2 linked regions of the Schizosaccharomyces pombe genome follow. The protein of the gene in region 2 interacts with the protein of the main gene of each other region in a pairwise test. Each region holds a gene or a part of one and is shown on either strand. Other genes may lie near its edges. The genes, in order: dna2 and pxd1.

The links.
Region 1: the proteins of pxd1 (region 2) and dna2 interact in a two-hybrid assay, tested with the Schizosaccharomyces pombe proteins (one study listed by BioGRID).

The regions. Positions count from the first base shown.
Region 1 is NC_003423.3:3,591,486-3,598,671, forward strand, and holds dna2 (DNA replication endonuclease-helicase Dna2), read right to left. Parts: upstream 5,472-7,186; 5' UTR 5,208-5,471; coding exon 4,850-5,207; exon of another isoform or gene 4,805-4,849; coding exon 2,011-4,804; intron 1,963-2,010; coding exon 1,248-1,962; exon of another isoform or gene 1,226-1,247; intron 1,201-1,225; coding exon 874-1,200; 3' UTR 806-873; downstream 1-805. Other genes in the region: kae1 (EKC/KEOPS complex N(6)-L-threonylcarbamoyladenine synthase subunit), read left to right, coding at 1-261, 302-761; cell wall alpha-1,3-glucan synthase Mok13, read left to right, coding at 6,086-6,442, 6,483-7,186. UniProt on the Schizosaccharomyces pombe protein: Key enzyme involved in DNA replication and DNA repair.
Region 2 is NC_003421.2:1,283,909-1,288,085, reverse strand, and holds pxd1 (protein Pdx1), read right to left. Parts: upstream 1,921-4,177; 5' UTR 1,737-1,920; coding exon 681-1,736; 3' UTR 555-680; downstream 1-554. Other genes in the region: rpm1 (3' ssRNA-specific 3'-to-5' exonuclease), read right to left, coding at 2,051-4,177.

The sequences.
Region 1 (7,186 bases), on a different chromosome or scaffold from region 2:
TCACAAGAAACCTTTAGTAGCAGTTAATCATTGTATTGGTCACATTGAAATGGGTCGTGAAATTACGGGTGCACAAAATCCTGTCGTGCTTTATGTTTCTGGGGGAAACACTCAAGTAATTGCATACTCAGAGAAGAAGTATAGGATTTTTGGTGAAACGCTTGATATTGCTATAGGCAATTGTTTGGATCGATTTGCCAGAATCATTGGTTTGTCCAATGCACCTTCACCTGGTTACAATATTATGCAAGAAGCAAAAAAGTAAGACTCACTTTGATGTTTTATACTAATTTTTTCCTAGAGGCAAAAGATTTATAGAGTTACCCTATACTGTTAAAGGTATGGATTGTTCATTTTCCGGATTGTTGTCAGGGGTTGAAGCGGCAGCTACAGAGCTATTAGACCCAAAAAATCCGAGTTCTGTTACAAAGCAAGATCTTTGTTACTCTTTACAGGAAACTGGCTTTGCAATGCTAGTTGAAATTACAGAACGCGCGATGGCACATATCAGAGCTGATTCTGTTTTAATTGTTGGAGGTGTTGGATGCAATGAACGTCTCCAACAAATGATGGCTGAAATGAGTTCGGATAGAGGCGCTGATGTTTTTTCTACAGATGAACGTTTCTGTATTGATAATGGTATAATGATAGCCCAAGCAGGGTTGTTGGCTTATAAAACCGGGGACCGATGTGCCGTCGCAGAATCGACGATTACTCAAAGATATCGTACTGACGATGTTTATATATCATGGAGGGATTAATACTTATATTCATGAACAAGGATCAGATGAATTTTATTTTAGGCATTTATATATACATTCTTCATTATGAAGATCGTATCCAGTAAAATATTGAGTTTTTTGAAGTAGATTATCAAAATTCCAGTTGAGGTAAAATAGCTTTTTCACATAAATTGTCACTATTAAAAAACCTTTGGTTCTTTCTAATAATAACTTTAGCATTATTTGTCGTTGCAACCTGAGAACAATCCTTAATTGGAGAGCTATTCTCGTCAAATTTCGTTGCTATATCATTCTCATTTAACGTGAAAATCCATTTGTTTTTTTCTAATAATTTCAATAAATGAGAAACTATATTTGAAGACGAAAGAGTAGATAACGAGCCAAACATAATACATTTCACTTTCGCCCTGCTTAAAGCAACGTTCAAACGATGCCAATCGCGTAGCAATTCTCCAACCTAAATAAATGGTTAGCAGTTGTGTAAATAATTGGTTCAATACTCACTAAGTTTTTACTGTTGGATCTCACAAAAGATATTAAAATGATGTCCTTGTCTCTTCCTTGATAACGATCGACAGTGTTAATTTCTATTTCAGTGAATGATTTAAGATTCTTAGAAAGCAACTCCACCTGACTTTTGTAAATTGAAATTATCCCGATAGAACTTTGCTTAACGCCTCGTTCCAAGAAGGAGGAAACTGCTTGTTCTATCAAAAAAGCTTCAGTATGATTTTCTAGAATATTATTAGTTTTTGATTCAACTCCCAGAATATCATCGGTATTAAAAAATATGACTGAATGACTAGGATTGATTAACTTGTTGACCCAATGTAGGCTAGACGACGAATCGGGTAAACCATCACTTAGATGAGCTTTTGGCAAAATTAATTTTTTTTGGGATATCGTCTTGGACCCACACACCAAATTGCCGCCATAAATAAGTTCACTAGATAATGAATTAATGTCTTCATTCATACGATATTGTAGTCTTAAAGTGGTAACGGCTTCAGGATGCTTTTCTGATAGTAATTTAAATAGACTGAGCGACAAACCATCCTTAGATGTTCTTGAATTTTTTACTAAAGGAGGAAGTTGATAATGATCACCAACTAAAACAAATTTTTCAGCAAGCTGCAAAGGGCCTAAGCAAATTGGTAGAGGTATTTGGGATGCCTCATCAATTATACAATAATCGAATTTTCTTTTATTGAAAATGGAACTAATGTTGTTAGTAGTTTGTTCATTGCCGTCGCTTTCAATTACTTACTGATATACCCCTAGAGAAGAGCATGCAACTATTTGGGGGTCTTCGTAAAAATGTTTTAATGACGCTAAGTCGTCAAACGTCGTTCCTTCAGTCAAACAAAATTCTTTTACTAGGGGATGGATTTTATGAGGAGATCCTAAGCGGACGATTGTGCTATCACAACCCTTCAGTTTAATTAAAATGTTATCAACTGCTAAATGCGTAAAAGAAGTAAGAAGTATTTTCTTCTTTTTGGCAAGCAATGATCTGATTAAGCTAGAAATTGTAGTGGTTTTCCCCGTTCCAGGCATTCCGAGTATCAAACTATAATGTTCTGCAGCGTGGCATTTCTTTAAAGCTGTAATTTGATCTTCGTTTAAACATTTCAAAAATTCAGGATCGATTAATGCACTATTACAAAATTTTGGAGGCTTCAAACGGATAATCATGTCCCTTATAATTAAGGGAGCATCTGGTAATACAGAAGACATCAAGGTACCTCTTATTGATGCAATTCCGCTCGAAAATTCGTCCTTATCAATTCTGTACCTCGTATGGTTACTTCCGATAAATGACAATTTGGAATCTTCATAGTTACCAAAAAATACCTGGTTTTTTTTGAAATCAAAGTTAGGCATCTTTAGCCATGGAATATGAAGTCGATGACGAGTTCGTACTTCAATACATGAATCTTGAATATGGACTATGTGTCCTTTAGCTAGTGACCAGTGTCCATGTTCATCAGAAATAAATACTCGTTCACCAACGCTGAAGCCTGAGTGCAAGAAATTTCGAGGATAACCATTGTCATTTAAAAAAGCGAATTTGTAATGAAAAACCCTGTCATCAATTTCTAAACAAACGATATCCTCTTTAGTAATGTATAAAGGATACAGAGTTTTTCCATAAGCTTCTAGCTCTTCTGTATCAAAAGTCAACACATCGCCTCTTTTTAGTAGTAAGAGTCGTTCCTCTTGATTTAATAACTTCTCCCACTTCTTATAAAATTCAAGATCCTCATCTTTTACTTCGCGCATCCATTCATTCCATGACTCAGTCAAGCCGTTACTATTAGCTACTCCTTTATCACTCATCTTTTGAAAGAACAAACATTCAGAAACTAAACTGCAGTGATCGCAAATTTTTCGGTTCGAAATCATTTCAGGAAGGCTGCGCCTAAAGTTATGCTGTGCAAGAGAATTTCTTGTCATGATCAACCCTCGAAGTTGGGAGTTACTTGCAACCAAATTCTTGATAGTACTATTTTCCAAATAGCATAATAATGCCTGATTAGTATTGATACCATAACGATCTGAAATGAGTAATGTATAAAGCAAACTTTGAGCAAAATGGCTAATATTGTCGACATATCGGCCAGTTTTAAGCTCTAACGGAAGTGTGAGGGTTGACGAAGACTCAGGTTTTTCAGTTAAAACCACCTCAACTGTAGCATCGATATTACCTTTTAATCCAAATCTGGGTGACCATATGGATTCCTCAATATCGAGAAGCCTTGAAATGTGAATACTTTCATTGTTGTTGTCATTTTTTTTACTTATTAAATATCTTTCAACAATAGATTTAAGAAGGGGAAGCCTCGCATCAAGTTCCTCTCGAATTTCATCGAGCGACAAATCAGCAAAATAGATATCAGAGATGTATGTTTTTATTGATGTTTCAAGGTTGATATCAACATTTTCAAGGGCATCAATACCTCTGTATAATGCGTGTTGAAAAAAATCATGTAAAATGTTTCCAGTTACCATAGCTTTTGTAGGAGGTCCATAAATGCCAACCCTGTCAGATATTACGGCTTTCCTCAAACAAGGAAAAGAGCTGGCCACTGCCGTAGCAGACATTAAAATTTTCGGATGTATGATAATAAGTCCTTTATCGTTGTCAACGATAGCGGTATTATCTTTGTCAAATGTAGCTTCAACACGGATAGAATCCCCTACAAAAATACTAGTCTCAGTCCAATCACCGCGTAAAAATAACTGATGCAGTATATCATTTGCTTCCAAAATCAACTTTAATTGTCGAAAGTGATTCCCTTCATGAAAAATGAAGTCTTCGTGAACTTCTAATACTGTGTATTCGGAGGAAAACTCGCACAATTCACCAGGAGTGCATCCATCACACGAATCATCCCAATCATCGATAAAGTCGCTATTGATATCCGGCAATGAATTACAAGCTTTATCAAGAGCAAGGTTCACAGGTTCTTCATTTATTGTAGCATCAGATGCTTTTGTTGCTGAACAATAAGATTGCAAATCACCTCCCACATGGTTGACCTTAGCTGTCTTTTCTATGTCCTTTGCAGAAGCAGTTACTGTAGAATTAGGTAATTGTGAGTATTGGCGTTCAAGGGAATCTAATGCTGCCAGATCTTCAGCTTCTAAGGCAAAATCATCCTCGTCAATTTCGGTATCTGATCCTTTGAGAAGACAACTGGAATTTGCAGCAATTCTTGATTGCTCAGATGATCTTGCATTACGAATTATAGACACCAAGCTAGGGACTTTATGCAGGTTATTTCCTTGGTTTTTTACTTCATCATACGATCCGAAGCTTCTACTCTGGTTTTCCGAAACATTTGAACTCGACAAATTATTGTTTATCAGTGGCTTATTATCTGAAGCACATCGTCGTAATAGGACAGTTTCATCCGTATATAATGTAAACACATCAGATTTTGAGTTCGTTGACACTGGTTTCATATCTATAATCGTTGAGTCCGTCGTTTGATGATCCAGCAAATGTTGAGTAGAAGAGCTACGACACAAATCCTTCGAAGTTTCTTGAAAACATACTTCTAAAAGTTAAAATACACGTCTGAATACAAGAAAAATCATACCTGGCATGTCTTGGCTATTCAAGTCAGATTTCCGCGTGAAAGATTTGTCAGGCTTTAAATCGTCAGTAATTTCTTTATGAGCTTTAGTAAATGGGGAAAAAGATGTTGAGGATTCATTAAAAGTATTCTTTCGTTTAATTGGTAATGAAGAATGCTTTTTTTCAGAGATTTTAGGTGAACTAATTTCTGTAGATGCATTGTACGCAAAATTTTCCAGCTTCAATTTAGTTCTCCCATTTAGCAAATAGTTTTTCCTGAAAGGAGTTGAATTAGTTTTTTTTAAATTACCATGATTGTTGTCAGTAGTGGCACATATACCTTTCACAGATGAAGTTGTTTTCGACTGGTCGTTGAACATTATTAATTTACAAAAAAAGGAAGGCAATAAACATTAAAAAATAAAAAAGTTTGTTATAATTATACTCAAATAACCAGGCTAAAATTCAACCAGGTAATGAGCTTTGAAAAGAACGACTAAAACACGTGAAAAAGAATGATGATCAACGATGTAAATGCAAAGAAAAAATAAATAGAAATAAATTAAAATAAAGCCTTAACGACTGCGCTTATTCTCAAAATAATAGGCAATGCTCGTAAAATAGATATTTGGAGTATGGTTGTCGGAGGTTTCAGTTTTATAGATACTCGGTTCCCTAACGCCAACAATGCTAGTTAATTTATTTCCTTAGGTTTTCCGCAGTCATGTTCTCGATTGATTTTAAATAAAATTACACATGAATATGTGCCAGTAATCTTTACAATGAACCTTGTGAAGTCGTTCACAGGTAAATTGAACTAAAACCAAGTCCGATGAAAGCAAAATTATTGATTTTCCTTAATACATAATTAATAAATATTATCTGTATCGAAATTCGCTTCAACTCTTCTTAAGTATAAGCTTATTAACTGAATGACCGTTTGCATACAAAAGCGCAAACTGCGATTTAATTATAAAATAAAATTCCTTCTTAATTTTTTTAAAATTTATTTTTAAAATAGAAATGCATGTGTAAGCAAAAATTAATATAAATTTTTTAGGTTCGTTTGTTTGTTTACATTCCAAAAAGTTGACTTATTGGTTATTGTACTCTTCTCGTATTTAGAAGCAACCATCATTTGAATCGGGAAAAATCTTGATAAATTCATATATAATAGCATTAACGATCGCATTAATTTTAATAAAACTATTTTGAACAGGGCAGCTTCTTCACGTCAATTGAGGAAATACCATAAACGATGCGAAATAAGAATATTCTCGTCTTGAATTTGATATTAAGTATACCAAGGTTGGTCTTTACTGCTAAATATGATGAAAGAGAATCTTTATGGAATTTAAACCAAAATCAATCAGCTACCGATCCTCTAGATTATTGGGGAAAATGGGAAAACCATCAATACCATCCCAGTCCAGATGATTGGCAAGTGCCATTTTACACAGTTATTTTGGATAAATGGAAAGATGGTGATCCTAGAAATAATGAAGCTAACAATACTATTTATGAGTATGATATTTATGAAACTGGTTTTCGAAACGGAGGGGATATAATAGGCCTGAAAGACTCACTAGATTATTTGGAGATTATGGGAATAAAGGTAAGATAGAGTTATGCTTTTATGCTCGTTAACGAATAAGGTTATCTACATCGCCGGTACACCATTTTTAAATCAGCCATGGGGTGCTGATCAGTACTCACCACTGGACTACACCATCCTCGATCACCATTCTGGAACAATTGCACAATGGCGTGACACGATAGAAGAAATCCATCGTAGAGGGTTTTATTTAGTTCTGGACCTTACAATTTCTACGTTGGGAGATCTTATAGGGTTTCGGAAGTATCTGAACAGTACTACTCCATTTTCTTTATTTGAACATGAGGCGGTGTGGAAAAGCAACGTCATTTATCCAGACTGGAATTTCACAAATAAATATGACCCAAAGTGTGAGCTTCCCAGATTTTGGGGTGAAGATGGCGCGCCTGTTGTGATTGATTATGTTGGTTGTTATGATTCAGATTTCGATCAGTATGGCGATACAGAAGCCTTTGGTACTCATCCTGATTGGGAACGTCAGCTTTCAAAGTTTGCTTCTGTCCAAGATAGACTTAGAGAATGGAGGCCATCGGTTTCAGAAAAGTTAAAACACTTCGCATGTATGATCATTGCCATGTTAGATGTGGATGGTTTTCGTATTGATAAAGCTACTCAAATTACAGTTGATTTTCTTGCTTCATGGGCTCATTCTGTGAGGGGGTGTGCAGCAACGTTTAATAAAAAGAATTTTTTTATACCTGGTGAAGTAACTGGTTCTTCAAGTTATGGCTCAATTTATTACGG
Region 2 (4,177 bases):
CTTGAATTCTTTTGATTCTCTATGAAACGAAATTTGAAAAAGACTTTAACTGCTCAGGGTTGGTAATTTGAGCAATTACAAATGCAGTTATTTAGAAAGAAAAGAAGGTTTCAAAAAATGAATGCTTTGTAAGATATAAGTAGGCCAGAGACGCGAAACACATAAATTGCTATTTCTCGTGTGTGTAGTTAATGACAAACACATGCTCTCGCGTTCCTTGTCCTAGTATTAGATAATAAAGATTAACTACGCAGCACGTTAGTGAAATTTTATGAAAAATTTCCGGCTCGTTAAATAAATAACATAATAATATACTATTTCGTTATTTTCCAAAGACAAATCTGCTCAAGAAAAGGTCCTAACATTAGCGCTTTATATGCATATATTATAAACCATACAGCGCTATTGAGATATAAAAAAAAACAAATAAGACAAGAAGAACTCAGTAACGTTCTCAAAGACGTTTAAAACTCGAGTCATAAAGTCCCTTCTGCTTTGGTCCTTCAAAATTAAGACAAGCTATCTACTCGTTATTTTTAGTTCTAACTTATCACATAAATATATACATTTAAAATTATTGAAATAATATTCTTGACTTGTTAGATATATAACGTACATTAAATCATCATTACGGGACCAGCTCGCCAAAAGTTTGCTATACTTAGTCTAACATAAATATTTCACTTTTCAAAATTTACGTTTCTTTCCTGAAGCCACGAGTGCAGAGTGTCCAAAGATACATAAACACCGTGCTTTAAAAGTATTTCGAGAAGGTCGTTTGAGGAAATACGTAGGGCATTTGAATTTTTCCATAAATAATGATACAACTTTTTTCCACCAGGGCTTCGAAAGAACGTTGAAATATTAGAAGAACACATTACTTGAGGAACCAGGAGATTATCAGCAACTTTCTTTTCATCGTGTTCGCAATTAACTATCGGATCGGACTCAAGGGTGGTAAAAGACTCTTCTCCAGAATCAGAGGTTGGAAATACCGACATACCAAAACAAGAACCAGCTTGTTCAATATCATAGCGATTATCATCATCGATACGGGTGCATACTCCTCTCAACATGTTTAACTCCCCACTTATCGAAGGTACTTGTTGGGACAATAAGTCACCCTCATTTCCAATTAGGTAATAGACATTAGTTCTAAATGATGATATCCATAAGTAAGGCGTAATTTGACAACCGATATTGCTGTGGTGGAACCCAGGTTCGACATTCATGAGTTCATCAGACAGAGGAAACTTTGGCTTATGCCTTTTAGCAATAGAAATAGCAATTTCTGGATGAACAACTTTGGACTTAAATTGTCTCTTACTAACACGAACTCTAGAATCTTCTGAAACAGAAGCCGTCATAAGTAACGGCTTTTTCTTGGGAATGGTATGGCCAAAGCTTAATGGGGTCAAGCTTTCTGAATGCAATTGATCAACGGAATTATTTTTTTCTTCAAAATATTTGGTAACTCTTGATGTAATACTGTTATAAGAAACCTTCGATTTAGAAGAACGAATGTGTGGTTTCTCAACTTTAGTAAAGTCATGAATATTAGCATTATCCTTTTTCAGGAAAGAATGCAGCGTTTTCTGTCGCGGTGCTGCATGGACTTTCATCTGGTATCGAAACCGCTGAACCTTCTCTGCAAAACTTTGCGCAGCATCATTTTCTTCAACATTAACGTCGTTTAAATTTAAAGAGGGTGCTGTTTCACCTTTAGATTCAATCATTTTTCTTAACTTAGATTTTAAACAACGCAGCACACTTCGTCGATGGATTTATAAGCATCCAAAGACATTTGCTTCTTGTCTTACAAAAAATAGAAAAAGAAAATATATTTTAATCACAAGAGTCAAGGTTAACAAAGAGACTTCATAGTAAAACTACCTGTTGGTTTTTGAGATGAGTTTTGGCGAAACAGGTTACTATCAAATCCCAAAACATAATTTATTTATATCGTTAAGTCTCGGTAAATTGATAAAATGCAGGATTGAGTATTTAATTAAGTAAAATTATATCCATAAAAATAGTTTTAATAAGTTTGTTAGGTCGCTAAAGCAACTAATAGGATATTAGACTCCGGAAAGACATCCTTAATTGTAAATGCCTGGCGAGTATTTGCTAACCGGAATGCTTCGTCCGGGAGAATATCAATATGCGCTTTAACACCCAATTCTTCCAACATGACCTGAGGTGTTGAAAGTTCTGAAACCATTAAATATCCATGATAAATATTTTTTTGTACCTTTGGAAGTCTCTCTATATATTTTAAGGCCCAGAAACGATTAATGTATCTTCCTATAGTTTTAATTGATTTTTCTTTTTGGTTGTACAAATTTAGTTTTCCACGAAGAATACCATCAGGTATAGTATTTTTTGGAGTCTTTAATAATACCGACTGAATCTGATGATGAGTGAAGAAGTCGGTAAACCGGCGTAAAGGAGAGGTAGACTGAATATAGCCATCCTTTAGCCCCAAAGAAAAGTGGGAAACAGGTGTGGAGGCTAAATGTGAACTTTCAAATAAAGGCATTACAGAAAGTGAATACTTAGTTTCAACGAGTCCCCAAGATGACCTGTTACTTAACAAAGTTTCAAACGCTTTTCTTCGTACACCATCCATAATTGGATAAGGCTGGCCCCTAAAAATCCCAGGTAATTTATGTTCTTGAAAAAATAATGATGAAACCCGGCCAGCCAATATCATGCACTCTGATATTACTGATTCTGCCAAGCTATACCCTTCACTAACGTTCAAACTAATTGTAGGGAAGGAAGACCAGTATACTGGATGATTCAGATCACCAAGATTATAAGGGACATTATTAGGCAGCAATTCAACTGTCGGAGTGGGTTGTGCAATAACAAACGCAAACTTTTGTAACCTAGAAAAACAGGCTTGTTTCGAAAGTTCATATATTCTTAATATATCTTTCATGTGATCATTTGATACTCCTTTTGTTTCCTCATCCACTGGTCCAGAAACGATGTCTTTCGCAATTGATCGATTACTATGCAAAGCTTTATCCAGTTGTTGGGGTGTGTATTTGATAACTGAGGAAATGAAGCTAGGCCGAACCTTGTAATCAAGTATATCGCCATTTTTTGAAATTTTAGCACTAAAAGTTAATGCTCTTTGAGCTGTAGAAGATGAATCTAAACTCCAATATTTCTGAGTGATATTGAGAGGTAGCATATACACAATTTTGTTGGGATGATAAATAGTTTGAAAGTTCCTTTCAGCAAACGTGCCTAAAGGACTGCGAATGTCAACTGTACTCGTAGGATTAGCAACATGGATATGAAGCCAGGAATTAGACATCCCTAATTCTTCAACCGAAATCGCATCATCTATCTCTTTCGTAGAAGAACTATCAAAGGCGAACGCTTTAAGATGCCTTAAATCGACGCGTTGCGATTCAAGTGAATCTTTTAATTCATTTTTTACAAACTTTTTAAAGTGATTACACTCACGTTCATACACAGCATCTAACTGAGGATTAGTACCAAGGCCAGCAATGCTGTATTCCTGTTGAAACAACCTCGGGGGCTGCCATGAAGCCCACACGCCAATATCCGTTAAGAATTTAGCAAACTGATCACTAGTTAATCCCCTCTCGTGAGTTTGAAGGCCAACTTCTTTGTAAACCTGACACAAGTGTGTATTTGGTAAACTTTGAATACTTTTTGCAATCATTTCCTGAACAAGATACCGCAATAGTTTTTTTTCAAATTCAGTCCAAGTGACCTGTGAATAAACTACGGGTTTTATTTCTTCGGTGCTTATAGGTAACTTATATTTATCTCGGGAAACTTGAATTAAATGACGAGCTTTCTTTATAAACGAAAGATATGGTGTTGATTTCTGACGCAGGCATGCAACAACGTCGTCAAAAGAATCATTTTGTGAAGAGGGAAGGAAATAGACTTTTTGAATTTCGGAAAATATGTGATCGCTTATTAAAAAATGTTTGCTTTCTGTAAGCAAAAAGTGTAACAATGAGATTTTAGCATATGGGCTAGGCTTCGAAGTTTTGTACACAAATTTCAAAAGGTCTGAAAAAGAAGCTGAATTGTCAAGTTTATTTGGAATATTGAATTCTGTCAATATTCGCAAAAATTCATTTCGGTGACTTCGACTTAAATCTTGTGCTCTTTGAGAGATTTTTTT